Linked DNA regions of Rhinolophus ferrumequinum. The protein of the gene in region 2 interacts with the protein of the main gene of each other region in a pairwise test. Links are inferred from orthologs where the notes say so. Each region holds a gene or a part of one and is shown on either strand. Other genes may lie near its edges.

Region 1 (8,271 bases), on a different chromosome or scaffold from region 2:
GACAACCTACCTAACACTACAAAAATTAGAAACCTAAATGTAAGACCTAAAAAAAAAACTCAGGAAAAAACCTGAAATCTTCATAACATTTAATTTGGCAGTAATTTCTTGGATATGCCACTAGTAACAAAAAGAAAAATAAGACAAAGTGGACTTCATGAGATGTTTCAAGTTTTGTGCATCAAAAGACATCAGTAAAAAGCAACCCACAGAAAGAGGAAATATTTCCAAGTCCCATATCTTATAAGGGGTTAAAATCCAGAATATATAAAGGACTAAAACCCAACAATTAAAAAACTCAATTCAAAAATGGGCAAAGCACTTGAAGAGACACTTCTCCAAAGCAGAAATACAACTAATAAGCACATGAAAAGATGCTTGACATTGCTAAAAGGGAAATACAAATCAAAACTACATTGAAATCACCTCACCCAGTAGGATGGCCACTGCCTAAAAAAACAAGTATTGTCGAGAATATAAAGAAAGTGGATCCCTTGTACACTGTCAGGAATGTAAAATGGTACAGTTGCTGTTGAAAACAGTATGGCAGTTCCTCAAAAAATTAAAAATAATTACCAAATCCAGTAATTCCACTTCTGGGTATGTACCCAAAAGAATTGAAAGCAGGGTGTCAGACATACTGTACACCCATGTTTGTAGTAGCATTGGTCACAATAGCTAAAACATGGAAGCAACCAAAGTGTCCACTGATGGATGAATGGATAAGCAAAATGTATGTATGTATATATATACAGTTGAATATTCAGCCTTAAAAAGGAAGGAAATTTTGACATGCTACAACATGGATGAACCTTGAGGACATTATGCTGAGTGAAATAAGCCAGTCACAAAAAGACATACTGTATGATTCCACTTACATGAGAAAGTCAAAAATCATAGAAATAGAATGATGGTTGCACGGGCTGGAAGAAGGGGAGAATGGATAGTTATTGTTTCAAGGATATGGAATTTCAGTTTTACAAGATGAGAAGTTCTGGAGATGGACAGTGGTAGTGGTTGCACAACAATGAATATTTGATACCACTGAACTGTATATTTAAAAATGGTTAAGACAGATTTTATGTGTACTTTATCACAAAAGAAACAAATTAGAAAAAAGTTATTGGTCATGCAAAGAAGCAGGAAACTATGACCAATAATAGAGAAAACCAAGAGAAACAAACCTAAAAATGACAAATGAATTATCAGACCTTAAAACAGCTTTTATAAATCTTCCATAAGTGCTCAAGGATGTAAAAGAAAATATGAACATGATGAGAGAAGTGGAAGATATAAAAGAGACCCAAATGAAATATCTAAAAATGAAAATTTCATTATCATTTAGAAAAGTACTCTGAGTAGGATTCATATCAGGTTAGACATTACCAAAGAAAAAGACAGCAAACTTGAAGAGAGGACCTTAGAAACTATCCAAAATAAAGCACAAAAAGAAATGGGATTGGTTTTGTGAATTGATTTTGTATCCAAAAACCTTGTTAAACTCTATTACTCTAATAATTTACCTCTATTTTTTGGGGAGATCTACACAAGCAATCTGTGAACATTTGAGAGTTTTTTCTCCCTCTCCAATCCTTATACCTTCCCCCCGCCCCTTTCCTTTCTTTCTGGCTAGCACCTAGAGTACAATGCAGAATAGAAATGACCAGTGAGTGTGGTGGTCAACCTCCCAGGTAGCACCAAATAATTCCTGCCTCCTTGTATCACACTCTTAGTAGTCCCTGTCCCACATTGTACCAGGATTTGGTGACAGCATATGATCAATAGCATAAAGCAGAAGTGACAGTATGTGACTTTAAAGATTAAATTATAAAACACTGCCTTCTGTCTTGGACACTCTGGCTTTCCCTCTCTCCTGAATCATTTGCTCTAAGAGGAACAAGCTGCTACGGTGTGAGAAGATCTATGGAGAGGACTTTGGCCAATAGTTACCTAGGAACTGAGTGAGGTCTGTCAACAACCACATGTTGACTAACGAAGCTCATTAGCTTGGAAGTGGATTCTCCATTCTCAGTTGAGCCTTGAGAAGATCATAGCCCTAACCAATGGCTTGACTCAACCTTGTGAGATACCCTGATCCTGAACAATTCAACTAAACTCCCCTAAATTTCTGACTCTCAGAAACTATGTGGAGTAATGTGTATTGTTTTAGGGTAGTACATTACATAGCAGTAGATAACTAATATAGTGGGCATCTTCGTTTTGCCCATTTTTTTACTGTTAAGATGTTTGCTATTTTGTTTAAATTTTATTTTTGTTTATTGTTAGATGTCCTTTATCAGGTTAAGGAAATTTCCTTTTATTCCTAGTTAAGTTTTTGTTTTAATCATGTATGAATGTCAATTTTTATCAAATACATTTTCTGTATTTGTTGAGATAATTCTATGATTTTTCTGCTTATATTAGTCTTTTTCAAAGAATGAATTTTAGCTTCATTTTGCTCTATTGGAGGAGTGGGGGAGATGCTTCCCCACTGCTCACACTACAAACCAGCAAACAAAGGCTTGGGAAGAAGGGCTCAAATCTTCTTTATTGCACATTTCTTTAATTTCTTCCATTTATCTAATTTCTGTGCTTATTTCCTTCTACTTTCTTTGAGTATGTCTGTACTTCCTCCCCCCCCCTCTTTCTTTTTTTTTTTTTTTGTTATTAGGTTGGATTATTCTCCCCCACCTCTTCGCTTTCTAAAGTATCAGACTATATCTTGGCCTGAAGACTTTCCTACTCCCTTTTTCTTTCACAGAAATTTCCCCCAATAAATCTCTTACACTTCTCCTTCAACAACCCAAAGGACCATCAACTGGTGAATGGATAAACTTAAGAAAGTGATAAAAACAATGTAAATACTGCATATTAAGAGTATGCCTGTCTGTAACTGTCACATTATGAGCAGGACCAAAAAAAAAAAAGGAAAATTTTTCCAGTGTTGGAAAACTATTCTCTCTTTCAGCAAAGAATACTACTCAGCAATTAAAAAGGAACAGACTACTCATGGATATATTCAACATGGATGAATCTTACAAAAAACAAACAAACAGTATGCTGAGCAAAAGAAGCTGGGAGCAAAAAGAATACATATTGTATGGTTCCATTTATATGAAGTCCTAGAACAGTCAAGGGGATGGAATGGGGAATAGATGGCAAAAGGGCATAAAGGATCTTTCTGGGATAATAGAAATGTTTGTATTTTAAGGGTATGATTTCATGAGTGTATGCATTTGTCAAATTTTATCCAACTATACATTTAAGATCTACTCATACTCATTTCACTGTGTTACATCTCAATACAAAAGTGCAAAAACAAGTTGGTTAGAGTGCAGGGCTCATAACACCAAGGTCAGCGGTTTAATTCCCACATGGGCCAGTGAGCTGCGCCCTCCCCAACTAGATTGAAAACAACAACTTGACTTGCAGCTGATAGGTCCTGGAAAAACACTGTTCCCCAATATTCCCCAATAAAAATGAAAACAAAAAAGTGCAAAAACAATTCTTCTTATGATGATTTAAGATGTCATTTTCTTCTTGTAGTTCTGTCCTGTAGGGACAGCTAGGAGTGCAATTCCCAGGCTTTCGGCCTTACGTGGAAAGGTGCTGGCTCAGGTAGTAAATGGCCATCAACTGTGATTGGATGGCCATCAGCTGTGGCTAGTTGGCTGTTAGCTGTACCCAGTGAACCACTGGCCACTAATATAACTGCTGTGCCTACACTAGCAGCAAATGGGGGATAGCAAGAAGACAGTGGCAGAGCTAGTAAGCACGGATTGCAGTTAGCAAGGGGGGGTTGGTTGGTTAGCAGAGAAGTGGACGGAAGGTTGCAGATCGTGTGGATCCTGTTTCCTGTGTCTCCAACCCAGCTGCCAGCGAGAATATAGTGGTATGACTCCACTATCTATGGCTCCTTTTTGGCCTCACCATATCCTGCATTCTTATGTGGCGAGCGGTACCAGGGACCCCACATGCCACCTTGCATGACATGTCCACTTCTGCTTTATATGCTTTGAAGCTATGTTATTAGGTATATATAAATTTAGAATATTGCTGGTGAATGGAAACTTATGAGCTCTTCTACATACATACACAACATGTTCTATTCTATTCCTATCTAATCCTATTCTTGCCTATCCTTGCCTAGTCTTTTGTAGTGCTTCAACATGTAGACACATCTTGCTGTTTTGGGGTCGGGCTTATACCAAATCCCAAGACAGGCACATGCAGCCACAGAACCAGCTGCATGTGAATGACTGGAAGTCCCCACTATGGTCACTTGGGGCATCCATACCTCATGTGCTTTCAACTCTGGCTTCTGCTCCGAATTGAGCCAGTATTTGTTCAGTGTGAGAAGCACACTTCAGCTCAAACCAAGGGCAGCTTAAGGAGGTGGGGGAGTGGGGGGGATTTTGCAGGTGCTCACACACCAGACCTGTGAACAAGAAAGGCTTGGTAAGAAGGGCTCAGATCTCAGAGTTGAGTTCTAGACAGCACATGCTGCACACTAACTTTATGGTGGTGATGGTCCATGGCCGGTTATGGAGCTGGAGGCAGGAGGAGGCTGGAGAACAGAGAGGGAAAGTTACAACAGCCTCAGCCTCAGGAAGTGGGGGCTTAGGTAGCAGGTGGCTGAGGCTGCACCATGTCTGCTATTTTCAGGCTAGGCCTCTCTTAACAGCCACGTGGCTTAGAAGGGAGGTGCCGTTTGAAGCGCCCAAATCTCCAGTGGGAAATGTTAATGGGATGAGATGGAGATGTGGTGTGTCTCTGGTTACTGTTGGGAGCTCGCGACCTCCACCACCACTATAAAGTTATTTAAACCAAGCAGCGAACACCTACATTGTCACTCACTGGTGGGTGGGCTAGGCCCCACCCAACTCTGGGCTTTTATTGGTCAGACCAAGAAAAATCGCGTACCTCGCAGCCTTCTTTGGATTGGTCGATTTCTGGTAGCTCTCAAGTCAATCAAAGTAAAATACCGCACTCTTTTCCATTCTCTGACTCCATGTTAGGGAAGCCATGTTAGGTAGCAGGATGCAAACCTTGCCACTGTTCTGAGACCCCACACAATAATATCCCCTGCTTTCCTCTAACGCCGCCGTCTTCTTTTAACATGTTAGTTCAATGAATGAAAAGGCGCTGTTTTCTTTATTTACAAAACGAGTTGTTTTATTAGTATAATGTGAGAAGTCTGCGTTTAGGCGGTGAGGCGCGAAGCTGGGGAAGCGATGCCCTGTTCTGCCTGCCAACCCTCCAATAAACCAGCAGAGACTCAGTTCTAACTCCCATCATCCAGGAAGCGCCCGCCTTGAAACTCCTGCAGCGTGCGAGGATTTTCAGTAACTTTTGGCCCCTCGCGGCCCTTGTAGCGTCCCTAGTTACCGTGCCCCTAGTAACCGCCCACTCCAAGCAGGGAGTCGCCAGGTAGCTAGAGGCCGCGCCAGCTTCCCAGCCCCGGCTCGGCGCGGGCGCTCAGGCCTCGGCGGCGAGCTGATGGCCGCCTCGCACCCAGCGGCGGAGCTGGAGTCTTCCAGTCTCCAAACCCCGGTAAATCCCAACACCTGGGTGCGGGTGGCCCAGTACCAACGCGAAGACCCGTTAGAGGCTCTGGCGGCAGCGGCCTTGGAGGAGGAGAAACAGGAAGAGCGGGAGGAGGCGGTGCGGCCGGCGCGGGCGCTGGTAATGTAGGGGCGGGACGTGGGCTAGGGTTGGGCGCTGGCTGGGTGCAGGCCGGTCGACCTCCCCGCTGGGCTGAGCGACGTGCTGGGAAACGCGGCGCCCTGCCCAGATCCTCCCTATCCGGTTATCCTGGCACAGCACCTTCTTTCTGGCCCCATGAAAACCCCTCAAAACCGGGCGAGGCGTTGAAAAGTCTTCTAATTTTCACCAAAGAGACTGTTGTAAAAATTTCTTAGCGTTTACTTCACTCTGTTTAGACTAGAGTGCAAAGTACAGAACCTTAGTCCTTATTCTCCAGCATCTATCAGAAGTAGATATTCCCTTTAATTTTTGACTCGGGGAAGACTGATCTACCCCCATAGAGGATAATCTATAAAACTCAGGCGAATCAACTGTACTGTCAGAAGTGTGTTTTGTTGTCACCTTAAGATCTTGGTTATTAGTGCATCTTAACTCGATACATAAGAGGCGATATTTAAAACCATCAAATGTTCAGTGGATACATCAGACACAGATATAGTAGTTAAGCATCCAGAGAAGCAAATTACTGAAGACCCAGTATTTCCTAAATGCCTTTTCAGGTTGGCTTGAGACAGCCTTTTCACTGATACTTTTCAGTGTCATGTGTGTCCTGAACACCTGTCCACCAGGTAGAGGGCCAAGACTGCCATCTGTGCTATTCCCTTAAAATATAGAAACATTGAATTTTAACTATCTACCTGCAGCTATAAATCTCCAGTTAAAGATTCTTAATACTATTTGCCCAAGCCTCTCAGATACAAAACATTATGGTCTACAGGGCTAATAGAAATCAGTAGATATTTTGGAATTCTAATCTCTTTAAACTATACTAAAACCGTTAATCAGAAAATCTGTAGCAACACCTTTTATGGTCAGCATTTCACCAACAGATGTAAATTATTAGAGGTTATCCAGAGTAAGGCTTATTCAGACCCTGAACATGAACCAGAGTGAGTCTAAGGGCCAGTTTCATTCATGATAAAGTTTTCCTTCAACACAACTTTAGTAGCCAAGAAAGGAGACAAAGTGATGGAGGAAAAAAATTTGAATGGAGTATTTGGAGTCCTGATTATATGACCCATTCTCTGCTATTTGCTAGATGACATTAAGATGTAATTTCCTTCAATCTCTGTTTCTGTATCTGTAAAAGAACTATAATAATTGTCTCTCTTTCTTGCCTCACTGGGATATTATGAGAACCAAATGAGAGAATGTGTGTCGTATCTAAATAACAGTTTGTATAAATTAGTAATAATAATAACTACTGCCAGTGAGACTGTCATTTGAACAACCTGCCCAAAGATTAAATTCTATTTTGGATTGCTGTGGTAGAGGAGTCAGTTATTTCTATAGTTGCAGTATACTTCCATAATGCCTTATCAAACTGCAAATTTGTATTAGAAACTTAATTACTTTCAGAGAGATTAGTTTCAAAGGGACAGAATCCTACACCTCCCTCCCCCCAAAAAAGGAAGTTAAGTCTTATCAATTTGACACTGTTTGTGACCACTACACTTGAAGGACCCAAAAGCAAACCTGGACAATCTGCTCCTTATTGCCTGATAACCAGAGGATACTGGGGTGGGGAAAAAAGCACTGAAAAGGCAGGAAAGAGAGTGCGGGAGCCAAGCTGGCTTGGGTCTGCACCTTGATTTTTAAAGGTTAATTTGGCTCAACTTTGTCATCTATAAAATGTAGTAAACTCAGATACCATAGCCATCACACAAGATTGATTAGAGAACCAACTGTCATAGTAGGCCTCTTCCGTTTGCCAAAGCCCCCCTACCCCTTGCAAGACTGCCCATACTGGGCACTGAGGCATGTTCCTTGAACCTAGCCTCAGCTGGAGATATCAGTTCATAGGCTTTGTTACATGGTTGATGATGACACAGGTATAGCAGTTAAAATTTCCACAGTTAAAATTTCACTGAGTTTCCTAATGGGGTCTCTCTCTCTCTCTTTTTCAAAATCAAATATTGAGCATTTATTAAAATTAAATATTGAGCTAGTCACTGACTCTTCAGTGGTGAATGAAGCAAACATAGCTCTCATCATTGCAGAGCTTCCAGTCTGGTGGGGAGGCTACATAATAAAGAAAAATGAACAATGAACATAAGATGGGAAATTTTGGAAAAGAAATTAACAGGTTACTATGATTTTTAAAAGAAGTAGGAGGGAACCTATTTAAATGAGTTAACATTTAGGTCAATGTCTGATAAATGAAAAAAAGTAGCCATTTGAAGAGTAGGGGTGGGAAAAACATTCCAGGCAGAGGGAACAGCATATGCAGAGGCCGTGAGATAGGAAAAGCTTTGTATGATTAAGGATCTGAAAGAAAACCAACAAGACTGGGAAAGAGTGAGGGGAAGAAAGGGAGAGGGGAAGAGAGTAGGTTGGCGAGGTCAGCAGGGCCTGCTCGTTCAGGGCCTTATTTGACCAAGTAAGGAGTTGAGTGTTTATTGTAGGTGGGTGGTCCTTGAAGACTTTTAAGAGATCTGACATATTCCTAGTTATATTTTTAAAATATGACTCTGTGGCTTTGTGGAGAATGATTGGTGGGCTTGA
Region 2 (8,227 bases):
AGATGATGACCAGGCATTTGTCTGCTATTCTCCGTGTTTATGTCTGCGGGGGTGAGATAGAGCAAGGTGGGGTGGGGCAGGGTGGGTAATGAGCAAGGATAGTTTTCCTTTCTGAGAATTTTCACCTGGGTGGAGGTGGGAGGAAAAGGGAACAGAAGTGGTCTATTTTTCCTGCAAACTCAGCCAGCACTTTGTAAGGTGGCACAGGACTGTCATTTCAAGTTGGACTACTACGGGCCCAAATCCAAAGGGACTGGCCAGAAGTGAATCATCTTTGGAAATGCAGCATGATGCAGAGATTCACTCCAATAGAGGAGCCAAGCAGAGCTAAGTATAAGGCCACCTTTAGAAATCAGGAAGCAGAGCTGGTGGTCTGGTATTGCTAGGCTTACAAAGTGAAGATTGTCTCAAGACCCTACTCCAGTTCTTTCTTTTCCGTGGGACTTTAGCCCACACGTGGGACTCTGAGATCTTGTAGACTTTGGACGTTGTCCTATACTATTTTCTAGTTAATTACTAACAGCTTTAAATTGATCTTGTGAATGAGGTCATGGATATGAAAATTCCTGGTACAGTACCCACCCTGCCACCCTTGGAAAGATAGTCCTGGTCAGCACACAGAATTAATGGAAGTGGGGCCAGTAAGGAGAGATGACTCAGCCCATCTTCTCATCTGTTATAGCATGCAGGCCCTAATAAGAAATGTTCTCCACTAGATCCAGAAATTGTTGCTACTATTGAAATAATCCAGATGTTATGAATTACAGAAAGCTGTAATTCATAAAAGCTCATTAGTACCCAGATTTGAATATATATGTTAGTAGAAGTTGTGTGGCCTGAATGTTTGCTGGGGTATTTGAAACATTAGTTTCTGAACAACTCATATGAGTAAATAAGGGTAGATTATTAACTGAATACATATTAAAGTATGAGCCTATTTGTTTCAACAAAATTAAAATATTTTAAAATTACAATCATACATACCTGTAAAAATTAATATATAAGTTAATCAAATGTAAAGTGAATGTTCCTTTCCTCCTATCCATCTCCTACCCATTCTCAGTAGTAACAGTTTGGTTAACAACCCTCCAGTGCAGGCATGGAGGGGCTGGGGCTACAAAGGCAAGCGCCACCAACAAAGTCCCTGCCTTCATGAGGCTTATATTCTACTGGGAAGAGACAGACCATACGCAAGCAAACAAATAGATAACTAAAAGCAAGTCTGGGAAGTTTGCTCTATATGTGGAAGTGGGATCCAAATGATGAAAAAGAATCAGTCTTGAACCCTGTGGAAAGAGCCTTCCAGGAAAAAAAGAGAAAAAAAGGGGGGCTGCTATGGCTGGCACTTTGCATGTCCAAGTGCGAGTTCCAGGATGGCGACAGGAGCCAGATCATGTGTGCACAATTTTGTAGGAAGTTCAATTTCATGCTAAATACAATGAGAGGCCATTAAAAGTTCTTAACTGCAGTGGGTTGGGGAAGAGAATCTGATTTTCATTTTTGAAAGACTCTGACATAGTGGTGGCAAGAGTGGAAGTCTGCAGACAGATTGGAAGAGATTCATTCACACATACACACAAATATATATATATATACACACACACACACATATATATATATAATTACTCTTTGAAATTATGTTCAGAGTCAGTTTACTGTCTGTCTTAGGAAATCAAATAACTTGTTTTTTGACCTTTCCCTATCCACCCAAATATAGTCACTTAGTTGGAAAACACACGTTTGACACTTTAACACGGCTCCAGAATGTGTTCATCACATTTGACTCTGCTTTTGGATTGTCTCAAAAAGCAGATTCCTTCTGAAAGGAAGAATTCTTTTCAACAAAGTCAGTAACTACTGAGGTGATAACTTTTGAGTAGCATCATTAAAATATGTATTGAGCCTGCTAAGGTGATTGCTTTGAAATGAAAAACACTTACTTGAAGTTATGTTCATTTATTCACCAAATAATTATTGAGCACCAACCGTTAAGTACCAGGCACCGTTTTAGGCACTGGGATATATCAGTGAATAAGCAAACAAAATCTCTCTCTCTGCTGTGTTTACGTTCTAGTAAATGGAGATGGACTAAACTAACTAACAAACAAACAAAGTAAACTCTGTATTATGGTTGAAGATTATATAAAAACAAGGTAAGAGATTTGGAAAGCTGGATGGGGATTGCAATTTTTAAAACTGTTGTGAGGTTGGGCCTCACAAAGAAGGTGATTTAGGCTAAACTAGAAAGCAGATTGGTAAGTAATATAGATGTGAAGAGGAAGAACATTAAAACAGAGGGAATAGCCAGTGCAAAGTTCCTGAGGCAGGAAAGTGCCTGGCAAGGTTGAGGAACAGTGAGGTGACTAATGGTTAGGTGAGTAGAGGAGAGAGTTGTAGAACATGAGGTCAGAGAGGTGAGGAGATGGAAGGAAACTTCTAACCATGGAAAAAGAATTTTGGCTTTAACAATGAAAGAGGCAAGTCAGGGCAGAGAAGTGACATGATATGAATTATATTTTAAAAGAATTACTGGGACCACTGTGATATAAATAGACTATAAAGGAACAAGGGTGGAAGTTTTGATGTGTTTTAGAAAACAACAACACTTCATAGTCACATTCCCTTAATTGTGCTAAAAGAGGGGAAAGAAGCCAAAGTATAGCATTAAAAAAAAATTCCAGATTGTATCCTTTCCCCTTTATCTTTCCATACCATAGCGAAGTACCATCAAGCCCAATTCCTTTAGCCCTGTGCTAAATGTTTCCTTAGACTATTTTCAGGCTGCAGCCAAATTCTTTACCTTGTCCTATATATCAGTCAGGATCTTCTTGGCTACAAGTAACTGATTACCTGATCATAGTGACTCAAGCAATAGGCTATTTACTAGCTCACATGTGAACAGTCCAGATATACAGAGCCAAGAAAGGTTAATTTAGCCATTCAGGGACGTCTGGGTTCTGGGTTGTCTTTCCTGGTTTGTTTGTTTGTTTGTTTGTTTGTTTGTTTGTTGCTTTTCTCTCATTGTTTCAGGATGTGTCACCACAGCTCCAAACGTTTCATGCTCACTGGGGGATGGCCAAGGTAGGAAGTATGGAAAAGACTTCTTATGGGCTCTCAGGGATAAAACTCTTTCCCTGAAATCCCCCCAACCACCCACTTCCCACTGTGTTCTCAGAATTATGTCACCTGCTCATCTCCTTAACCAGTCATTGACAAAGGAAAAAACCACCTACCAAGACAGGTGTAGACCAGTGGTTCTCAAAGTGTAATCTGAGGAACCGTGGAGGGGGATCCCCAAGACCATCTCAGGGAGTCTGCAAAGTCAAAACAATTTTTATTATAATACTAAAATGTTATTTTTTCCTCCCATTCTCTTAGGAGAGTATAGCGGAGTTTTCCAAAGGCTGAGACAGTGCAACAGACTGAATGCACCAGATAGGAAAATCCAATTGCCTTCCATTAAGCCAGACATTAAAGAAATTTGCACATTTTAAAAGTAATACCATGCTTTACTTTTTTTTGGAAAACATTGTTAGTGTCCATTAAAATGTGCTATTTAAAATGTCGTTTTTACTATTCTTATTTATTATTATTCTTCAAATATTTTTAAATTTCTGTTTTAATTTCTGTTATCATGAACATCAATAGATAATATGAGGATATTTGTTTACGAGGATAAACAAAAGCTCTTTGGGGCCCTCAATAATTTATTCAGACAGCTCTGATTCATCCTTGGAGCTGGGGGCGGGGCCAAAATTTCCTGAGCTCACCTCAGCCTGAACCAGTCTTAAAATCCTACTCTGTAAGTGGTTAGGTCACAACAGGGTATTCTAGATGCTGCTTATTAAATTGATCTCAACTCCTCTAGCTAATCAGAGAGTGAGCTCTTCCTTTTAAACTGGGAAGTGAAATGGTCAAAATGAAGCTTCAGGTGTTATTTCAAAGAAAAACTGGTGCATTAAGTTTCTTCTTAAGATGGGAAGAGGTGTGGGATTTTAGGAGGTGGACAATTGAAATTTCAAAACTCCTCTAGGGAGCAGGGGTTTCATGCTCACTTGATGATGGCCAAGGTAGGAAGTAAGGAAAAGACTTACTCCCACTCCATCATTAGTCTGTGTTGGAAAGTAATGTAATCATTGGTAATAATTGCTTTCTTTCCTCCCCACCAGCCCTGTGCTAATAGCCTCTTTACAATGGTGGGTCCCAACGGTTATTTGGCTGTCATTCATTTAGTCTCAACAGCATCCATTCCGGCCTCCTGATCCTTTAGGCCAAAGGCAAACTGGAGAATTTCGTTGGACTCTGAAATTGTCACCATGGCGTGCTCATTGTCTCGCCTTGATCTTTCATCCAGGATTGGGGATGTGTGCGTGTAAATTGGGAAGAAGGCACTAGTCTCTCCCTTGTTATTCACTGTTAATATTTCTTATTCTGTCTCATATTATTGTGGTATTTTGGTTTCAAAGTGCTCTCAGAAGCCTCCTTAAAACACCAAACCTGTTTTCTCTTGAGTAAATCCCTTGGCTTTACACACCAAAAAAAAAAAATTAAATAAATCATCGAAGTATATCTTTGTGTTTGTAACAACTCATATGCTTGCGATTTCACCATCTGATCTTCCTTTCTTCGGTCTCTTCTCTTCCCAGGAGAATTTTAGGCTTACATGGAACCGGGGAGGAGCCGGCCTGACCCCGGCTACGGTGCGGCAGGCGTACATTTTCTTTTCACATATTTGGTGAGCGGGTGTGGGATATTTTTGCATAAATTTCTTGTTCATTAGTGCCATTTCTTAGTCTTCCGCCTAGGTCGTTTTCTCTGCCCTAATTTTACGTGTAACTTTCTCCCGGTTGGGTCGTTTCATCCACGATTCCCGACGCTTGAACATCGCTTTCCCTGGGCCTGACCTAATTCTGGGTGCCGGCTGTTTGGTTTACTTCTCCACTTTTGCAAGCGCACGTGACTCTTCAGGGAGCTTCACTTTTTCTCCTACGGTGGGTGCTGGGGTTCACTGGCGCTTGGAACACGTGCTTTAATGCAGCCAGGATGCCCTTCCCCCACGGAGTCCGAGGCCCCGAGCTCTGCAGGCGTGAGGAGGGGCAGGGAGCAGAGCCGGGCCGGGTGAATCACAGGGCGTAACAGGTGCCGCAGCCGCAGCTGCGCCCGCATCTTGCTGGGCTCCAGGGATAAGGTTTTCTTTTTCTCCGAGTTTTTTTTTTTTTTTTTGTGGAGGTGGGGAGGAGGCTCCCGAGGCCCCCACCGAACCAATGCAGGCCGCGGTTGTTCATCGCTTAGCAACTGGCGGAGCCAATGGGAGGCGGCCGGGCCTGCGACGCGGGGGCGGGGTGGGAACCTTGCGAACCTGTGGAGGCGGGGAGGAGGCCGCGCGGGGCGGAGCGGAGCCCGGCTGGGGGCGGAGAAGGCGGGAGCCGGAGGCGGAGGCGGGGCCGCCGGCCCGGGGGCGCTTCTTGCAGCCGAGCTTGTGCCGGCCCTCCGGGCTGAGCGAACCGGTCGGTCTTGGACTCCTAGTGGTGCCTGCCCGCCTCTCCCGGGAACCGTGACGGGTGAGAGCCTGACCCCGCGGCAGGGATTATGACGCGCCCGCCTCACGGGCGACGGCGCCGGCGGGTGGTAGACGCCGGGGAAGGGCGGGAAGGCAGGCGCGGAGGTGAGCGCCGGCACCTAGCTCGGCGCGGCCGTTGGGGCCGTTGGTGGAGGCGGACAAGCGGTTACCCCCTCTCGCCTCGGCGGTGCCGGGAGGAGGAGGTGGGAGGTAGGTGCCAGTTCGGGGACCACTCCTGCTGGTGATCGCAGTGCTCTGCCCTCGGGAGGGCTCCGGCCCTTAGAGCCCCAAACCCTCTCCAGGATGGAGAGAGGGTGGCGCCTGGCGTGGGATGACGAGCGAGGCGGGGACGTGGGGGTGGAGGGGATGGCCAATTTGGGGCTGCGGTGTCTCAGCAGAGGCTGCGGGGCGTGCGGGCTTCGGGATTTGTTAGCTCCAGCCGCAAGAGGCAGTCGTTAGAATGAGTTACTGGGTGGCCCGTGGCCGCTGCAGTGGAAGAGAATCCCAGTGGTAGTTAAAACGTCTAGGGGAAGAACTTACATCATCTAAGAGGCAGGCATGTGTGAGAACATTTTGGTGTAGAATTTTATAGTAACGTAGAGAAAACTAAATTACGAGCTCCCTGTCCTCTTTTGAGCCTATGGTGGTCGTCCAGTTATGCAAGTCACTTGGGCCCAGGAAATGGAATCTGCTAGATAATTCGTTCTCAGCATGTGTAATACGGGAATCTTTAGATTATTGCCCCACTTCAGGGTCCGTAGTTATGATTGCCAAATTATCATTACTTGCAACGCTGATACTGTTCTTGTTGGATCTGAGCGAATTGAGGTTTCCCTTTTCTGGACCCCATAATGGGGTGAGGATTGGCAGAGGCACTCCTCCGAGGGTGGTTCACAAGTGTAAGAGGGGACTTCCTGGAATTTGACATTGCTGGGCTCCCCTAACAGGTCAGATTGGAGGCTAGGCCTAGAGATGGCTGTGAATGATGGGTGCCTTGGAACCCTTCACGACTCAGGAGAGATTGATATACTCTTTAAATAGAAGAAAATTCTGGCAGCCTTGATCCTGATCTGGAAAGGTAGGTATGACTTAACACATTTAGGAGACCGAACAGAATTTGAAAAGAATTAGAGATCTGAAGAGAGAAAAAAATGCCTTTAGACTTAAAGTTTAGATCAAGCTATCTTGACATTTAGAAGTTGAGCTTGGATTTTGTCAGCAAAACTTAAACTGCAGGCCTAGGAAGCTTAGGTTATTCATTCATATTAAATAAGTAAAAGCTAATAACTAATTTGACACTATTCTGCCTGCTGTCAGTGAAAGTTTCTCAAAATGGTTCTTTGAAAACGGGATGAAGGAACTGATAGTTAAAATGAAGGCTCTTTTAGTGACTTGCTGGGTCCTTTCAGCCAAGTAATTTTATACCCTTCCTTTCCTTCTCTTTCCCCATGTGTACAATGAAGATAATAAAGCCCTAGGATTAAGTATCATGAGTGAAGCAGCTTGAAGATAACTGCAAGGAGTTAGTTATTCTAAGATGAAATGTGAAGCTCTCCTCATAACACATTGCGCCTTGTGACAAGACTTAATATGCCAAAGCATAATATGTTCCAAACCTGCTGAGGTGTTAAAAGAAAAAACTAAAACGTTAACTGTTCAGATGATTTGCCAAAGGCCTCAAGGCCAACACAAGATTAGGCCCATCCAAAAATCTGACACAGCTGCTCTTTGACAAAGCTGGCTATGACACAGGTTTTATAAAAGGAGACGTTTGAGTGTCTTGTATGTAATATGCATCTAGAGATAAAAAGATACTGCCCCAGAATTGTGTGATTTTAATACATTTCACATGCTTAAATTGGAGCAATTCCAAAGCTTTTTAAGTGATGTTTTCTCATATCATGTACTAGTAGTTGTGAATATGACTTACAGGTTGGACCAGATCACGGAGAGGTTTTGGTACTCTGTGGGTCTGTTTCGTGTCTGTTGATGGTGATCGTGATTAGCTGGTAATGAAGGTACAAGTTATCTTGAATTCACGAATTTATAGGGTGAGATAGAAAAGTGCACCATTGTTGATAATGGAAGACTACCTAAAATCTTTACTTTTGATAGTGGGTCAATACTATATAGTACCAGCAGACTTACTGAATTATGGTTTGTTTTTTTTGTGTTTTTTTGCGGGGGAGGGGAACAGGACTTTATTGGGGAACAGTGTGTACTTCCAGGACTTTTTCCAAGTCAAGTTGTTGTCCTTTCAGTCTTAGTTGTGGAGGGCGCAGGTCCAGTTGCCGTTGTTAGTTGCAGGGGGCGCAGTCCACCATCCCTTGGGGGAGTCGAACCCGCAACCTTGTGGTTGAGAGGACACGCTCCAACCAACTGAGCCATCTGGCACTGGCCAGATGTGGGAATCGAACCGGCAGCCTTCCACATTAGGAGCATGGAGCTCCAACTGCCTGAGCCACCGGACCAGTCCCTGAATTAAGTTTTAATAATTTATTCTTTCAAGAAATATTTATTAAATACTTCCTAAGCCTCTATTGGCCAGATCTGAAGATAAAAACGATGAGTGTTGCTTTGTGGAGTTTGTTTTAGGAAATTTATAGTATAATAAAGGAAAGAGCGAAAATAGAAAATAAAAATCGCAAATATGAGAAGTCTTTAGAA
Region 3 (7,749 bases), on a different chromosome or scaffold from region 2:
CTGCCAGGAGCAGAGACAGGGCCACCAAGTCCAGGGCTGGAGCAGAGGACTGGTTCTCACAGGCCACGCCTTTGGAAAAGCAACAGAAACCAAGGTGGTGTGGTAATAAAAATAGCTACGTGTTTTTTGGACTATTTCCTTGGTATCCTCTAAGTCAGCAAAATCCCATAAAAATATAATGCAAGCCACATATGTAATTTTAAATCTTAAAAAGGTAAAAACAAAACAAAAGCGGTGAGATTAATTATAATAATTTTATTTAGCCCAATATATCCAAACTATTATCACTTCAACATGTAATGAATATAAAAAGTCATTGATGTGTTGTTTTACATAAGTCTTCCAAATCCAGTGTGCATCTGACACTGGCAGCACATCTGGATTAGGACCTGCGATGTTTCAAGGGCTCAAATGCCATATGTGGCCAGTGACTACCCTGTCAGACAGTGCAGGTCTAAATGGTTTATCTATATTAACTCATGGAACTCCCACAACAATTCTATTCCCATTTCAGAGATGGTGAAACTGAGGCCCAGAAAGGTCAAGAAATTGCTCAAAGAGCTAGCAACTGACTCAAACCCAGACTGTCTGGCTCCAAAATGCATCCCTTGACCTCTGTACTTCTTGTCCTCAGTTCTGGCTTGAAGGAGCATTGTGGACAGCTGGCCTAGGTTCAAGCTCAGGCTATGCTATGCCACTTATTAGCTGGGTGTCCTGCATGATCTGCTTAATCTCTCTGAAACTCAGATTCTTCATCTGAGAACGGGACAGTGTTATCTAAGCCAAAAGGCTGAGGGATGACTTGTAGCCTCAAGCCCAGAGGACATACCACAGAAAGCCTGGCACCCAGCGAGCCTTGGACACACTCAGAGTATTTCAGCCACTGAGATTTCTCCACTCACCGAATTCATTTGAGCAGGACCCCAACTTTTGCACGTAATGCATTACTGGAAATGTGTTTGAAACTGATTTCGCAAAACTCTAACAACAGATTTCTGTGTTGTAAAGGACATTCTATTCACTGAAGACTATACAAATTATGAAATCCCAAATTATGTCTCTCCAGTTAGGTGTCATTGTCAAAGATATATTTCCAGAGTTTCATACATATTATTTTGTAAAGTAATTGAATTTGTTTTACTGTGTATATTTTGGTTCTGATTACAAAAGCAATGCCAAAAAAATGCAATTGTTAGAGAAATAAGCAATGTGGGAAGTAAAGGTGGTGTGGAAATGCACATGCAGAAATGCCCACAAATGGTTTGTGTGTGCCCAGGGAGGAGTAGTGCCCCCAGGGTCACGAGGCCCCAGATGTCAAAGCGTCAGAATACACAAAATGAAAGAAATGGTTAATTCAGCATTGTTAATGCTTTAGAAGGTTTTGCCAAATTGCCCTCTCCAAAGATTCTACCAAGGGACACCCTCTCCAACAGTTTGGAGAGTTCCCATTTCCCCACACCTCCAATTCTGGGCATTGCCAACGTTCTTCATTTGGTTAAACTGAGGGAAAAATTTACTCGATTGCACAAAGCACACACATGCTCCAATTGTGTCCACTTCCTCCACAATTAAACATATGGTCACCAGCTTAAGCTTCAAAGGGTCCAGCTGAAAGCCAAGATTTGCTGCTTTTTTTTTCTGGGTGGTGAACACACAATGTGATATATAGATGATGTATTACAGAATTGTACACCTGAAACCTATGTGACTTTACTAACCATTGTCACCCCAATAAAGTTTAATTAAAAATATATATATTTGCTGCTTTTGGCACAAGCTTCACCCCCTTCCACTTTCCCTGCTTCTCACTAAGCCCAGCCACACTGACCTTTAGCTTTCTCAATGGACCAAGCGCCTTCCTATCTCAGGGCCTTTGCACATGCTGCTCCCTCTGCTCTGCATCTCTTCACCTAAGTAACTCCTAAGTAACTCACCCCTTGAGGAGATTCTTGCAGTCAGGAAAAAAAACTGTTTTCCCATTTATAATACTACTACCTGCTTCATAGGTTGCTATGAGGATCAAATGAGATACGTAGTTTAAAATTCCCATTAAAACCATTACTCTGGAAGGGCAGAAATGGTCCCCAGCACTATGCTTGCTGCCAAAAAGGCACCTGATGCATGTTTGTCAAATTAATGAATGGATGGATCAAATGGGCTCCATCTTTGACTCAATTATACTAAAGTGTCAGAGGCTACATTTCTTATCACTGTTATCAGTACATCCATTGTCTCCCTTTCCACACCTTTTTATAAAGACAAAGGATAAAATGCAGGAATGCTCACACCACTGCACAAACAAGTTACATCTGGCCAGGCTAAGATGGCTGCAAATCTCAAACAGAACTGCTGGTGGATAGGGAGCAGCCCCATGTGATCGCTGGGAATGTTTATTTTTCTGTTCATGTACAATGCCAACATTCAATACTCCGGTTTGATCTTCTGTTTGTCCTCCCCTATTAATTCTCACCCTTCTCTCCCCAGCTCTATTCCCTGAGAGGCTGATAACAAGACCTGCTCCCTTGCCCTCCTTGCCTTCTGTTGCAGCCAATGAGAGACTCCAGCGGGAGATGGGAGAGTGGGAGGAGAGAGAGGGTGGAGTCTTCATTCCCCGTCCCTGACCTGGGCTGGATCTAGTGACATGCAGGAGGTAGCAGCAGAAGTGATGCAATGTGACTTCCAAAGCTGGGTCACAAAATGATACAACTTCCACCCGGCTTTCCTTCTCTTGGATCACTTGCTCTGGGGAGGCCAGCTGCCAAGCTGGGAGTACATCTCCACTAAGGAGGAGCTGAGGCATTTCACAAATAGCCAACACCCACCTGCCAGCCATGTAAGTGAGCCACCTCAGAAACAGATAGACCCTGAGCCAGAAAACCCCAGCGAAGCCACTCCTGGATTCCTGACCCACAAAAACTATATGAAATAATAAGTTTGGGGCTAATTTGTTACACAGCAATAGAGAAATACTACAACTACTAACAGTCCTCCCATGCTCCCACCTCAGGACCTTTGCACTTGCTGTTCATTCTGCCTGGAACTCTTCTCCCACCTCCTTCAGGTTTCCCCTCAGATGTCACTTCCCACTGCTTTCCCTGATCCCCCTTTCTCTATCCCCCTATCTCAGTTCATATTTCACCCTAGCACTTATTATTTCCTGTCCTATTATATATTTGTTTCTTGTCTGTCTCCCCCACTATAATGGCAGCTCTACATTCTGGGGATCTTTGTTTTGTTCAATGCCTGGCACAGTGTAAGCATTCAATATGGTGGCCATTATTATAAGAATCTAGCAGTCTTGATTCTTGTCATAGCTGGATCAGTCTCCCACCTGTTTCCTGCCCACTCGGTGTCCACCCTGGCCAGGGGATGGGACATAGCTGTGACCTTCCCCTCCACTGGGTAAGTAGTAATTGGCAGCTGTAAAGGGAAAGCCCCCCAGGCCTTCCCACTTCCCTCAGGACAAAATCCCAGGTCGTCTGTGCAGACTTCGGGCCCCCATCCCTGTCTGAAATTCCACCATTCAGCCACAAAGAACCATGAACTGTTTACATTCGCTAAGAGAGCAGTCTCTAGACCTACAAAGCTTTGGGGTTCAAGTAGAAAACATCAGCGCACCTATTTTTTATCTCCATTTTTTGTTTGCTAAAGAATATGTAATAATATATTATTATAAAATAATCTACAGAATCCATTGGTATAACTGTATTTCTACATAATTTATAAGTAAATATCCATCTGGGGGTAGAGCTTCAACATTCTGACTGATGGAGGTGCATAATTGGGAAAACAATTTAGAGTCATTATCCTAATGCAATTTTGCCCCCCAGAGGACATCTGGCAATGTCTGGAGACATTTTCAGTTGTCACAACTGGTGTGTGTGGGGTGCCACCGGCATCCAGTGGGCGGAGGACAGGGAGGGAAGCTGCTCAACATCCTACAATGCACAGCACGGAGCCCACCACAAAGAACTCCCCAGCCCGAAATGGCAGCCGTGAGGAGGCTGAGAAACGTCAGACTCTCTTGCTTCTGGGGTCTTTTCACCAGCTGCTTCCTTCTCCCCACTCTGTGCTTCATCTAGCTAAGACCTCAAACTCCAAGGACTATACGAGCCGTTCCTTTCTCCAAGAAACCATCCCTGAAATCTCCGGGCTGGGCCAGAGCCCCTCCAGCCCCCTGTGCTGGGTGGGTTAGAATCGTCGTGGACGTCGGGGTTCTCAACCTTTGGATTTACAATACAGATTCCCTGGAACCGCTGACGGCCGGACCAGGAACCTGTATTTTTAACAAGCACCCCCATCCCCCCACTGCCTGTCCCTTTGGACGGGCACCGAGTAGCTGGCCCGACTAGTTTGCATGCCAAGAGCTACTAAGCGTTCTATCCGGGGTCTGGAATCCTGGCGCGCACGCGTACACACACCCCCAGAATGTAGTCACTTATCACCCCCATTTTATAGAGGAGTAAACTGAGGTTCAGAGAGGGGATGTGGCCGGGTAAGAGGCTCAGAGTCAGGAAGGTGCCCAGGTCTTAATTAGCGCCTGATTTCTGGGTGAGGAGAGAAGGCGATGAACTAGGGGAGCGCGAGCTGCGGCGGGGGTAGCAGATTCGAAGGGGGAGCCCGAGATTCGCAGCGGCCTTCCGATGCGGCCCCGCCCCCACGAGGGACGTGAAGACGCGGACCCCGCGCAGCGTGGGGACATGTGACCGACTGCAGAGGCCGCGCCGCCTCTCCTGGCGGAGGTCTGCGCGCTCAGCCGCAGAGTGCGGACCCCGGGAGCCCTCCTCGGTTTGGGGCACAAGAGCAGAGGCGGAGCCAGGGTGGAGCTAGCGCTTCCCTGCAATCGAAAGCGAAAGAGGGGGCCGGGAAGGAAGGGAGGAGCCGGCCCGGAGCCCCGCCCCCTGCCCTGCGCGCGGCTGGACCGCGGGGCGCGCCCAGGTAGGGGGACTCCGAGCGCGCAGTGCGGACCCTCGCGGGGACCTGCGTGACTGCCACCATGTCTCAAGAAGGTGTGGAGGTAGGAGATGGCTACGGCTGGGCCAGGGCCCTCAAGAGACGCCGGGAAGGGCCGGGGCCGCAGAGGGGGCTTCGCAGTTCCTTGGGACTCCATCCGTAGCCCAGACCTTCCTCCTTGTCTGCCCCCCCCCAGAAAGGAGAGTGACCGCCACCTCCTCTTGAGCGAAATGCGGCCCCCTGGGCGAAAAGCAGGGGCTGCAGGGTCAAGGGTCAGAGGCCAGGGGTTACCTGGCCGGCCTCCTCCCGAGCCTAGGACGCTCGCCCCAGTCCGCACCCTCCCCCAATGCCCGGTGGGGACTTTGGCTTTTCCAGGAAATACCATGGAGGGATGGGGGTGGGGGATGCGGAGGCCAAAACCAAGGGTCAAGTTCAGGCCCAGAGAAGGATGCCTAGAAATAGGGAGGGGCAATCTCTCTTCTTCCCCTTTCCGAGCCTCGCTGTCCCCATCCCAGCTGGAGAAGAGCGTCCGGCGCCTCCGGGAGAAGTTTTATGGGAAGGTCTCCAACAGGAAGGCGGGGACTCTGATGAGGAAATTTGACAGCGACCACACCGGAGTGGGCCGCTCCATCGTGTACGGTGAGCGGGCAGGGTTCCCGGGACTGGTGGGTGTTCCGCGCGGGGGAGCTCGGTCTGTTCGGAGGGTAGGAAGAGGAGTTGAGATCATCTCTTGGGGATGGTCTGTATTGGGGCTCCGGAGACCCTGAAACTCCCACAAGATCCTTCAAGGGCCCTTCACTTACACTTAACTCTCCCCACCAGGGGTAAAGCAGAAAGATGGACAGGAACTGAGTAATGACCTGGATGCCCAGGTAAACTGCCCCCCTACGCTCAAAGGACAGGGTAACTGGGGAGGGAGAACACAGGGAACCCTGCCCATCCTTGGTGAGCCCCACTCAGTGCACTGCCAGTCTACAACTCATGGTCCAACCACATCTACTTATTCACAGAAGGGCTGTGTGTCCTGCCAGGGAGCCTGCAAACAGTAGGTGTTCATTCCATGCTAATGGTATTAAATGGGGGAGAGAGACATGAAACTAGTTAGTGACGCTAGCCAGGATTTAAGTCATCACATAGGAGCCCTAGAGGTCAGGGAAGGCTTTCTGGAGGATGTGGTGTCAACTGATCAAGGCTGAAAAAGAGTGATCCCTGGGAATGGAGGGGTCGGAAATAGTCTTCTTGGAAGAGGGAATAGTGTGAGCAAAGGAACATACAGACAGGCTGGGATGAACAGGAGATGGGGAACCGGAGAGAGGGGGTAGGGGGCTCCTGTTGAATGAATGAATGAATGAATGAATGAATGAATGAATGAATGCTTTAAAGCACAGATACATCATGGCCACTTTGCCCTTTAGATGGCTTTGGTGGCGGATGCACTGTGGATTTTGCCTGCCTGAAAGACCAGTATAGAGTTGTTAAAGAGTATAATAAAGTATGTATCATACTCTTTATATTTATACATTGACATTTATACCTATAAAGAGTATGATAAAAAATAAAGAGTAGCATTTAGCATTGATTGAGCACTTTCCTTGCTGCAGGATTCCAGGAATTTTACCTGTTGATTCATTTCATCACCAAAGCGACCCCATGAGACAGGTCCTATTATTTATTACCAGGTTTTATGGATGAGGAAACAGACAGTGATGAAGTCACTGGCCAGGATTATGCAGCATGCAGGTGGCAGCTGGGATTTGAACCCGAGCCACTCAGAGTCAGAGACTGGGCTCTGAGATGCCCTTCATTAAGGACCCAGGGGGAGTAGCTTGGCCACACTGCCACAGCTAGAAGTAATGGAGAGTTGGGGATCGAACCTGCATCTATCTGAACTCAGAGACTGAACACTTAGCCTAAAGCAGCATGGCCTCAAAGAGGCAACTAACTCATCCCAATGCCAACAAATGTGTGGTATTTAACCAGCAGTAAGGGAGCATGGGGTCCAGGCCTGCTCTGATCTCAGGCAAGCCCTCTCCTGGCTCTGGGCCTCAGTTTCCCCATCTGAGTAATGGGGATAACAGGTGTGCCCACCTCTCAGGACTGTTATAAGGGTAACAGAGGTCATGTACCTGGTCTCAGTAAGAGCGCTGCCAATCAGCTCCTTGTGAGTTAGGAACACCCTACTCTTATATGGGGCTGGGAGGGTCCCATCCAGGAGCCCGGCCGCCAACAAACAAGGTGAAAAGAGGCCTGAGCTGAATCCCCAGCCTCTGCCCCTGGTGTCTCCACCCAGGATCCACCAGAGGACATGAAGCAGGACCAGGATATCCAGGTGAGTCCAGGTGGGAATGGGGGAGGTGGAACAGGGAGGACATCCATGGGAGAGAGTGAGGTCATTGTGGAGGAGGGGGTGCATCTGCTAGGAGAGGAGGGCTGAGACTTGTTTGTGTTGGTGGAGGAAGGCCGACCACCCTCTAGTGCTCACCCCGCCTCATTTCACAGGCAGTAGCAACCTCCCTCCTGCCTCTGACAGAAGCCAACCTACGCATGTTCCAACGTGCCCAGGAAGACCTCATCCCTGCTGTGGACCGGCAGTTTGCCTGCTCCTCCTGTGACCATGTCTGGTGGCGCCGTGTACCCCAGCGGAAGGAGGTGATAACCCAGTCCAACCTTGACTCTGTCCTGAACTCCACTCCCAACCCCCATCTTCAATGTCTGACCTTCTGACCTAAGAACATCAGCCTCTGAGAGCTCAACCTCGATCTCAGACCCCAACCCCCAACCCTGAGCTGGACTTCT
Region 4 (7,432 bases), on a different chromosome or scaffold from region 2:
GGCCACCCAGCCACAGCGAATGGCAATCTGATTACAGCTGATGGCCATCTTACTACCCGAGCCAGCACCTTTCCACGTGAGGCCGAGAGCCTGGAAACTGCTGTCTGGGACTCCGTCCCCACATTCATTTTTAATAAAGTGGATAGAGGACTGAGTTACTAACTTGGAAGAGGTCAGATTTCAGAAGTCAGTTAAAGGACATTATACTCCATCACTACCATAACTTACCACAACAGACCTTGGCATTGCTGGTTTAAACACTGAACAAAATTCCAATAATCTTTTCTCATAGTATTTGCAGAGTGTCATTTCTTCATGAGGCTCAAGAAAGACTGGATCATTGTGAAGAACCTTTAGATTAAAAGTTACACCAAAAGTTCAGTCAATTGAATCTTAAAATATTTTTCTGTCCAGATTAGTTTCTATTAATATCTCCAGCCAAAGGGAAATATACCACAACTCATTTCCACTTTATAGAATTGTTCATTATTACACAAAATGGCTTTAGGAAAAAATTTAATAACCTAAAATTATACCATAATTTCACAATTTCTCAGAATGTCAATTGGGTATTTGCTTCATTAAGGTATAAGCAATCATGATGGAATGTATGCCTATGCTTACAGGTTTGATGTCATTATTTAGAAATCAAAAAGAAGATATACGTGGTTCATATTTGGAAAGTTTTCAAGACTTCTTTCTCAGTCAGTTATTAAGTCACACAGGTTGAGGTAAGAATCAACAAGTATTGCAAGGATAATTCTGACCCTGAAAACATTACTTCTTATCCACCTTTGTAAATTCTCTACAGAATGCATTCTAGATGGTTAATAAATACAACTTTACAAAAAATATCCATTAGATGCTGTTACTAGTTTAATTACAATTACCAAAATAGGATATATTGATGTCCTAAACCCCCAGTAGAGGCACACCTCAGAAATAATGTAGGTTCAGTTACCAGACCTCCACAATAAAGCAAATAGTGATCATTTTGCTGGTGGAGGGTTTGCCTTCAGTTAGTGAAGAAAAAAAACAAACACATCTGTGAAGCACAATAAAGCCAAGTTCAATAAAATGAGGTATGTTTGTATGTGACCTCAGAATGTGACCTTATTTGGAAATACGGTCTGTCACGTGGGGTGTCATGCAGGGTCTCTGGTCCTGCTCCCCACAAAAAAACGTGAGGCCAAAAAGTAACATCCATGGAGCCATAGATAGGGGAGTCATACCACTATATTCTCTCTGGCGGCTGGGTTGGAGACACAGGGAGCAAACATCCGCCAGTACCCCAACAAAGGGACTCCCTGCACCCCAGTCTCTCTGGCAGCCAGGCGAGACTCACGAAGTAGGATCCACACAATCCACAATCCGCCGTCCACTTTTCTGCCTGCCAACCAACGAACCAACCTAGCCACAGCAGTTATATCAGTGGCTAATTGGCTAACTGATAACAGCTGATGGCCAACTAGTCACAGCTGACGGCCATCTACAACCCGAGCCAGCACCTTTCCACGTGAGGCCGAGAGCCTGGAAACTGCTCTCTGGGACTCTGTCCCCACACTGTAGATGTAATCAGATGTACTAGAGTAGAGTTGGTTCCTAATCCAATATGACTAGTATCCGTATAAGAACATGTGAAGATACAGAAACACAGGAAGAACACTATGTAAAGATGGAGGTAGAGATTGGAGTTATGCTGCCACAATTAAAGGAACACCTGGGGTTCCTAGAAGCTGTATGAGGAAAGGAAGGATCCACCCCTACAAGCTTCAGAGAGCAACTACCTGCCAACCTTGATCTCACTAGCCTCCAGAACTGTGAAAAAATACATTTCTCTTGTTTTACACCACAGTTTGTGGTAGTATTTTTATGGCAGCCCTAGGAAACTAACACAGGTGCTAATTTTATAGACAATATGGCATTGCGGTTTAGAGCAGGAATGCTGGAACTAGATTCCTTCCTTGGGTTCAAATCCTGTCTCTGCCACTTACTACCAATGTAGCCTTGATTAGTTATTGCTCTCTGTACCTGTTTCTTCAGCTAGGAAGTGAGGATAATAACAGTCTTTACCTCAGTAGCTGTGAAAATTAAAAGATCTAACACTTGCCAAATGCTTAGAATAGTGCCTGGCATGCAGCACAAAAATAAAGTGATATGAAATAGCTGTGACTTAAAAGTACAGTACCTCAGTCCCAACAATCTTAGACATGGAATACTTGCTGGAGGGAAGCTTGCAGTTACTAGGATGGGTGTTGGAGCTTGTGAGGGAAAGGTGGTTGGTAGCTGTAACAGGGAGAACTTGGCGGGCAGGCCATAATCCAAACCATCTTCAATCAACTGGTTTGTGCAAACGGTGTCTTGTCTCCCCGCCCCCACCCTGCCCCATCCAATCCATTCACCACCAGGATGCCAGAGGGCTCTTTCTAGAACAGCATCTGTAAAGTTAATTTCCCATTTAAAATCTTTCAAAGGTTCCCCATCCCTTCATCAAGTTCAAATTCCTTACTTTCGCTTACAAGCTCCCCGCCTACCTTTTCCAGCCTGTCTTGCACAGGTGCTCTGCTACCACTACAAACGATCTAGAGCATTCCAGGAACCCGCCCTACAACTTCCCACTTTGCACCTGTGGTTCCGTCCTCCGGGAATGTTCTTTCCCCATTTGCTTCGCATCAGCTACTGGGAAAAGCCCTCCCGGAGGTCTCCTTTTGACAAGTGAACGGCTCTGGTTCCGCACTACACGGACATCCTACAAAGTCTCCTACGCCATATTACTGGTTATTTGCCTGCCACTCAACTACGGAAATGGTGTTGTCCGCCTCTGTACCCACAGCACCTGACAAGGTGTTCGCCTGTTTATTAAACAAATGAACGTGCGCTCCGGAGGGAGGAGAAGGGGAGGTGTCCAGAGAGCCCCGGGGGCGGGGGCACTAGATCCCGCAGTTGTTCAAGAGTTAGGAGGTCCGGGCAGCGGGGCGGCCACCCGTGTCCTCACCTTCCCGTTCGCCACCGCTTTGCATTTGAATTTGCGGTTGGCGTCAGCCCGCAATCGTGCCAGCTGCTCCTCACTGGCGAAAGTCCAGTGCCGCTTCTGGCTACTGTTGTGGTACATCCTTAAGTCCGAGACCAGGCCCAGGAAGTCTGGAGAAAAAGACCCCAAACGCCACCACACCGTGGTGTAAAGCAGCTAAACCACGACAGCGCAGGGCGTCAGGCCGTCAGGCGCGGGTGCGCTGACGTCACAATCACGTGGTGACTTCGTCGGCGATCGCGTTTCCGGAGCGGAGAACCTCTCTAGCGCTGATTTAGCCGCCGCCTGCTCCCTAAGTGGCCGGAGCGTACGGATATGCTCCGCCTTTCTGCGAGCCCTGGCTCTAGCTCCGCCCCTTTCCTACAAAGCTTAAAGGAGAAGTGACAGGCTGAGATGGCCAAAGGAATGTAAATTGAGGGTATGTGCAGGCTAACATAATTCACACGGGGTAATCAGAAGAGGGGGCAAGGACTTAGGAGGGTGTCACCTTTTTTAAATAGGATATTCAGAGTAGGCTACACTAAGAAGGTGACATGGAATAAAGACTTGAAAGAGTTGAGGGATTAGGCATATCAGTCACGTGGGAGTGATGCTGGGGCAAAAAGAACAGTGAAGGCCCTAAGGCAGAAGTATTCCTGGCTCTTTGAAGAAAGAATGTGTCTGGAGCACTACCAAAAATCTCTGCCTCAGAGATAACAGAACATGGTTGGAAAACTAGAAGCAGTGCATGTGTATTGTTCTTTATTGCTCTGCCAATAATGTGACCCTATCTTTTTCTGTGCCTTTTCCTTTCCTCTTCTGCTCAATTGGATTGGATTCTGCCAATCCTTTCCCCCATTTCCATCTCCGAGGCCATGACGTATGGTAGTTTTAGGATTTTCTTGAAATCCTCATCTTCATTATTGCCCCAAGGGAAACTTGCAATAAACTATCTGTTAATACTTAAAAGATTCACAATTTTTTTGTTACTAATACTTTCAAAATTGCATTTGAGATACAGAATTTACATGAATTCCAAAAGCCTTTACTAGTTTTGATATCTGTCCCATTTAAGCACACCACGTTCTCCTATGCATCATACATTGGGTTAGATAGATTTACCTACAGCAAATCATTTTTCTAAACACCAACAGATAAAAAATCAGGTAATGAAGATGAGACACAAAGAGTTCAGATATTCAAAAGACCACACAGTTAAAAATAGGTGATAGGATATCTCTAACTCTGCTTTCTGTGAAAATGTTTTTAGCTGCTTAAGAAAGGGAGAGCTTTTTCTTCTTTTTTGTTTCATTTTGGCGAGTACAGTTGAGGGTAAGTAGACTTTGCCAGAGTTATTTGAATTGCACAAACTTACATCATTTGTAGTTTATAACTCTGGAGATCCAGGCACTCCTTGAACATGTGTCAGTAATTCAGACTAGTTAAATTGGCTAAGAGAAAAGAGAAAAAGAGAAAGAAAAAAATATGAGGTTGTTAACCTGGGAAATAAAAAGCCAAAGTGAAAGGCAACAAGCATTTTTTTGAGATCAAAGAATAGCTATTAGGAAAGCAGTGATTCAGGCAGAAACTCAGAAAGTGTTCTGATTTTGGGGGGAAGGCAGGGGTTTTATGAGAAAGGGAAGGGAAATAATTACATGAATAGAAGAAAGGAATTTCTGTTGATGTTAGTAAGCTAATTTTTAGCTATACATGGTTGTGCTAATTCTACAGACTGCCCTTAATTTTCAGTCCTTGTAGTCAGAATGTCTGCTTACTTGTTATTTTTACAAACTGTTTGGAATACAATGTTGGCTTTGCCCAGTCCAAGGATTATTTTTCCCATTCCAAATGTTTGAGGAAAACACATGCAAGGCAGTTCCTTGGAGTGGCTATAATAGCTCTATTTTAAAATGGCTTCGCTTACATCAACTTAATGTTAAGGAGGGACATGGCAAGTTATGACTCCAGTGGATTGTGAGCACCATAAATGATTGTATAACGAAGAATAATTTAAAAGGAGAAAATGAAAGGTAGGCAGGAAAGGAAATGATTTAGATAAATGAATAAAGTCTTAGACCCCTGTCAATTCTATATACCATGTCAATTCTTTTTATTTTGTTTTTCTGAGAGGCATTTGACAACTACTTCAGTTTCATGTAAAGGGAAATAAAAAGGGGCATTTGGGAGAGGTGGCAGAAAATGATTACCACAGGGATAAGAGTATAACTGCTGAATGTCATAATTCATTTAGGAAGACAAATATGAAAAACCTGGTGTTTCTGGTGTAACTATTTTATAAAATCTTTAAAAAATTTTAGTCTATGAAAATTAACCTTGACCATGCTTTTGGAATGTAGAAGAAATTGTACCTAAATTAACCATGGACAAAATAAAGTTGTTGCTGATGCCCTAATATTAGGACTCATATATGATTTCTTTTTCTTAAGGTGAGCCAGGCTGGATGCTGCACCAGTCAGTCTGCCTGAATGACATTCCCCTGTTCAGCTTGTTGAGCATGTTTATTTCTTGTACTATTTCAACCGGAAGGCAGACTTAGAACTTGGACTTAGAACATGGTGCCTTTACCTATTTCCATTTCTAGTTCCAACTAAAAAGTAGCAAGTGTTTCTCTCCACTCTTACGTGTTTATAAAAAAATTCAAACATTGAGAATAGAGAAAAATGTATTTCAATAATTATCCTCCACTCCCCGACGTCCCCATGACTTTTAAATCACAATCTCTGCTGCTAGATGGAGATGTTTCAAACAATAAAAAACAAAATAGACAGAATCTATACTTCCTAGAAGAGCAGTACAAACATTCAAAATTTGAAAACAAAGATAGTACTAATTCATTGGGCTTTACCCAGAAGTGAATGTTAACTAATAGGCATGATTACAGTGCCTTCTTTTAAATAAACACAATCTTTTAGTGTACTGCAGTTGTTAAATTGTGTTGCAGTATGTATTTTTATAACAAACTAAGTATTTTTAATTGCAGACATTACGTCAAAACCAGAGGTTGCCAATCAGATCAAGCGATGCAAAGCAGAGGTCATCTGTTGATCACCCCAGAAGCACTATACTTATCCATATACCATGCCAAAGCTTCCCATGAGAGTATTAAGAATTCCTCTCTCTTGAATTTATCATGTTAAGTGAAATAATTCAGACAGAAAAAGTCGAGAACCATATGACTTCACTCATATGTGGTACATAACACTGAAAGCAAAAAACTAACAAGACAAACAAACAAAGAAACAAAAACTCATGGACACTGACAACAGTTTAGTGGTTCCCAGAGGATAAAGGGGAAGGGGGGTGGTAGATGAGGTAAAGAGGGTAAAATATAAGGAGAACTGATTCTGGGTGGTGACCACACAATGCAGTATATGGATGATGTAGTATAGAAATGTACACTTGAAACCTATAAAATTTTACTAATCAATGTCACTCTAATAAATTTAATTTAAAAAATGAAAGTTTACTCCAGTGTAGAAAACATAAATTTCTCTCTTCCTTTAGGACAATATTCCTTCTTCAGGCTCTGCCCTAGTGATCTTAATGTTTTAGAAAAATAAAGATAAGACTGCCTGATTTTAGGAGTAAAGGTAGAAAGGGAATAAGAAGGGTGAGGGAGTAACCAATAAATATATGTGCAACTTGAAATAGTTTTGCAGTCTAATAAAATATTTTAAGTGGCCTGATTAATTTATAGTCTTTATTTTCCAAACATATCAGTATACTCATATTCACATAGTTTCTGATTTCATGGCTACAAGGAAAATAGAATGGTGTTTTGGAATAAAGCCACATCCATGCTCACAAAAATACAATGTCTTTCTTACTTTAAAATCTGACATGAAACTGTACCCCTTCAGCTACTGACATGGGTTTCTGACATTCTAAATATAGCTTTGCAATGATATGTAAAAACAAGACTTTTGCAGTTCTATTTGATATATACACTTGCCTCTAAAATCCTTTTCTAGTTTGTTTGTTTTTTCCCAGTGACCAAGTTAGGACTAAGAGGAGAAAATATCTAGTTTCTCCAAAACAGGGTACTACTAAAGGAAAAGAAAAGAAAAAAAGAAACAGCATTTAAAAAATATCCTTGATCTAAATGTAACCTCCCAAAACTGAAACACTTTTTCTTTTGTTTTAGGACTATTTAAAATTAAGGTGTAAATAGACTTGACAACATAGTGAGGAGTGAATTCTATAAATTCGTGACCATTTCAGCATATCTTACTAAATCACCACTATACTCAAGGCTTAGTACTAATTGTTAGATGGTGGTGGTGATGGTGATGGGAACATAAAAATGGCTATTTTATAGTTCCTACCTCAGGGTCCTTTGAGTATAGTAGAATAATTATGACATGCACAAATACAGTTTTCTCTCAATGACAGTAACCTTAG

What was found.
Region 1: the proteins of SSX2IP (region 2) and FAM161A interact in binary tests that used the Homo sapiens proteins (3 or more experiments, as listed by UniProt). The two-hybrid records come from large-scale screens. The link is inferred for Rhinolophus ferrumequinum from reciprocal best matches to the Homo sapiens genes SSX2IP and FAM161A.
Region 3: the proteins of SSX2IP (region 2) and SHFL interact in binary tests that used the Homo sapiens proteins (3 or more experiments, as listed by UniProt). The two-hybrid records come from large-scale screens. The link is inferred for Rhinolophus ferrumequinum from reciprocal best matches to the Homo sapiens genes SSX2IP and SHFL.
Region 4: the proteins of SSX2IP (region 2) and CCNH interact in binary tests that used the Homo sapiens proteins (3 or more experiments, as listed by UniProt). The link is inferred for Rhinolophus ferrumequinum from reciprocal best matches to the Homo sapiens genes SSX2IP and CCNH.

Annotation. Positions count from the first base shown.
Region 1 is NC_046296.1:27,369,257-27,377,527, forward strand, and holds the start of FAM161A (protein FAM161A), read left to right. Parts: upstream 1-5,182; 5' UTR 5,183-5,499; coding exon 5,500-5,685; intron 5,686-8,271. UniProt on the Homo sapiens protein: Involved in ciliogenesis.
Region 2 is NC_046292.1:63,568,814-63,577,040, reverse strand, and holds the start of SSX2IP (afadin- and alpha-actinin-binding protein), read left to right. Parts: upstream 1-4,972; 5' UTR 4,973-4,991; intron 4,992-5,407; exon of another isoform or gene 5,408-5,561; intron 5,562-5,578; exon of another isoform or gene 5,579-5,770; intron 5,771-8,227. UniProt on the Homo sapiens protein: Belongs to an adhesion system, which plays a role in the organization of homotypic, interneuronal and heterotypic cell-cell adherens junctions (AJs).
Region 3 is NC_046301.1:40,069,006-40,076,754, reverse strand, and holds the start of SHFL (shiftless antiviral inhibitor of ribosomal frameshifting protein), read left to right. Parts: upstream 1-4,691; 5' UTR 4,692-4,996; coding exon 4,997-5,017; intron 5,018-5,468; coding exon 5,469-5,592; intron 5,593-5,775; coding exon 5,776-5,825; intron 5,826-7,243; coding exon 7,244-7,282; intron 7,283-7,452; coding exon 7,453-7,602; intron 7,603-7,749.
Region 4 is NC_046290.1:56,803,834-56,811,265, forward strand, and holds the start of CCNH (cyclin-H), read right to left. Parts: upstream 3,253-7,432; 5' UTR 3,113-3,252; coding exon 2,996-3,112; intron 2,709-2,995; exon of another isoform or gene 2,535-2,708; intron 352-2,534; coding exon 229-351; intron 1-228. UniProt on the Homo sapiens protein: Regulates CDK7, the catalytic subunit of the CDK-activating kinase (CAK) enzymatic complex. CAK activates the cyclin-associated kinases CDK1, CDK2, CDK4 and CDK6 by threonine phosphorylation.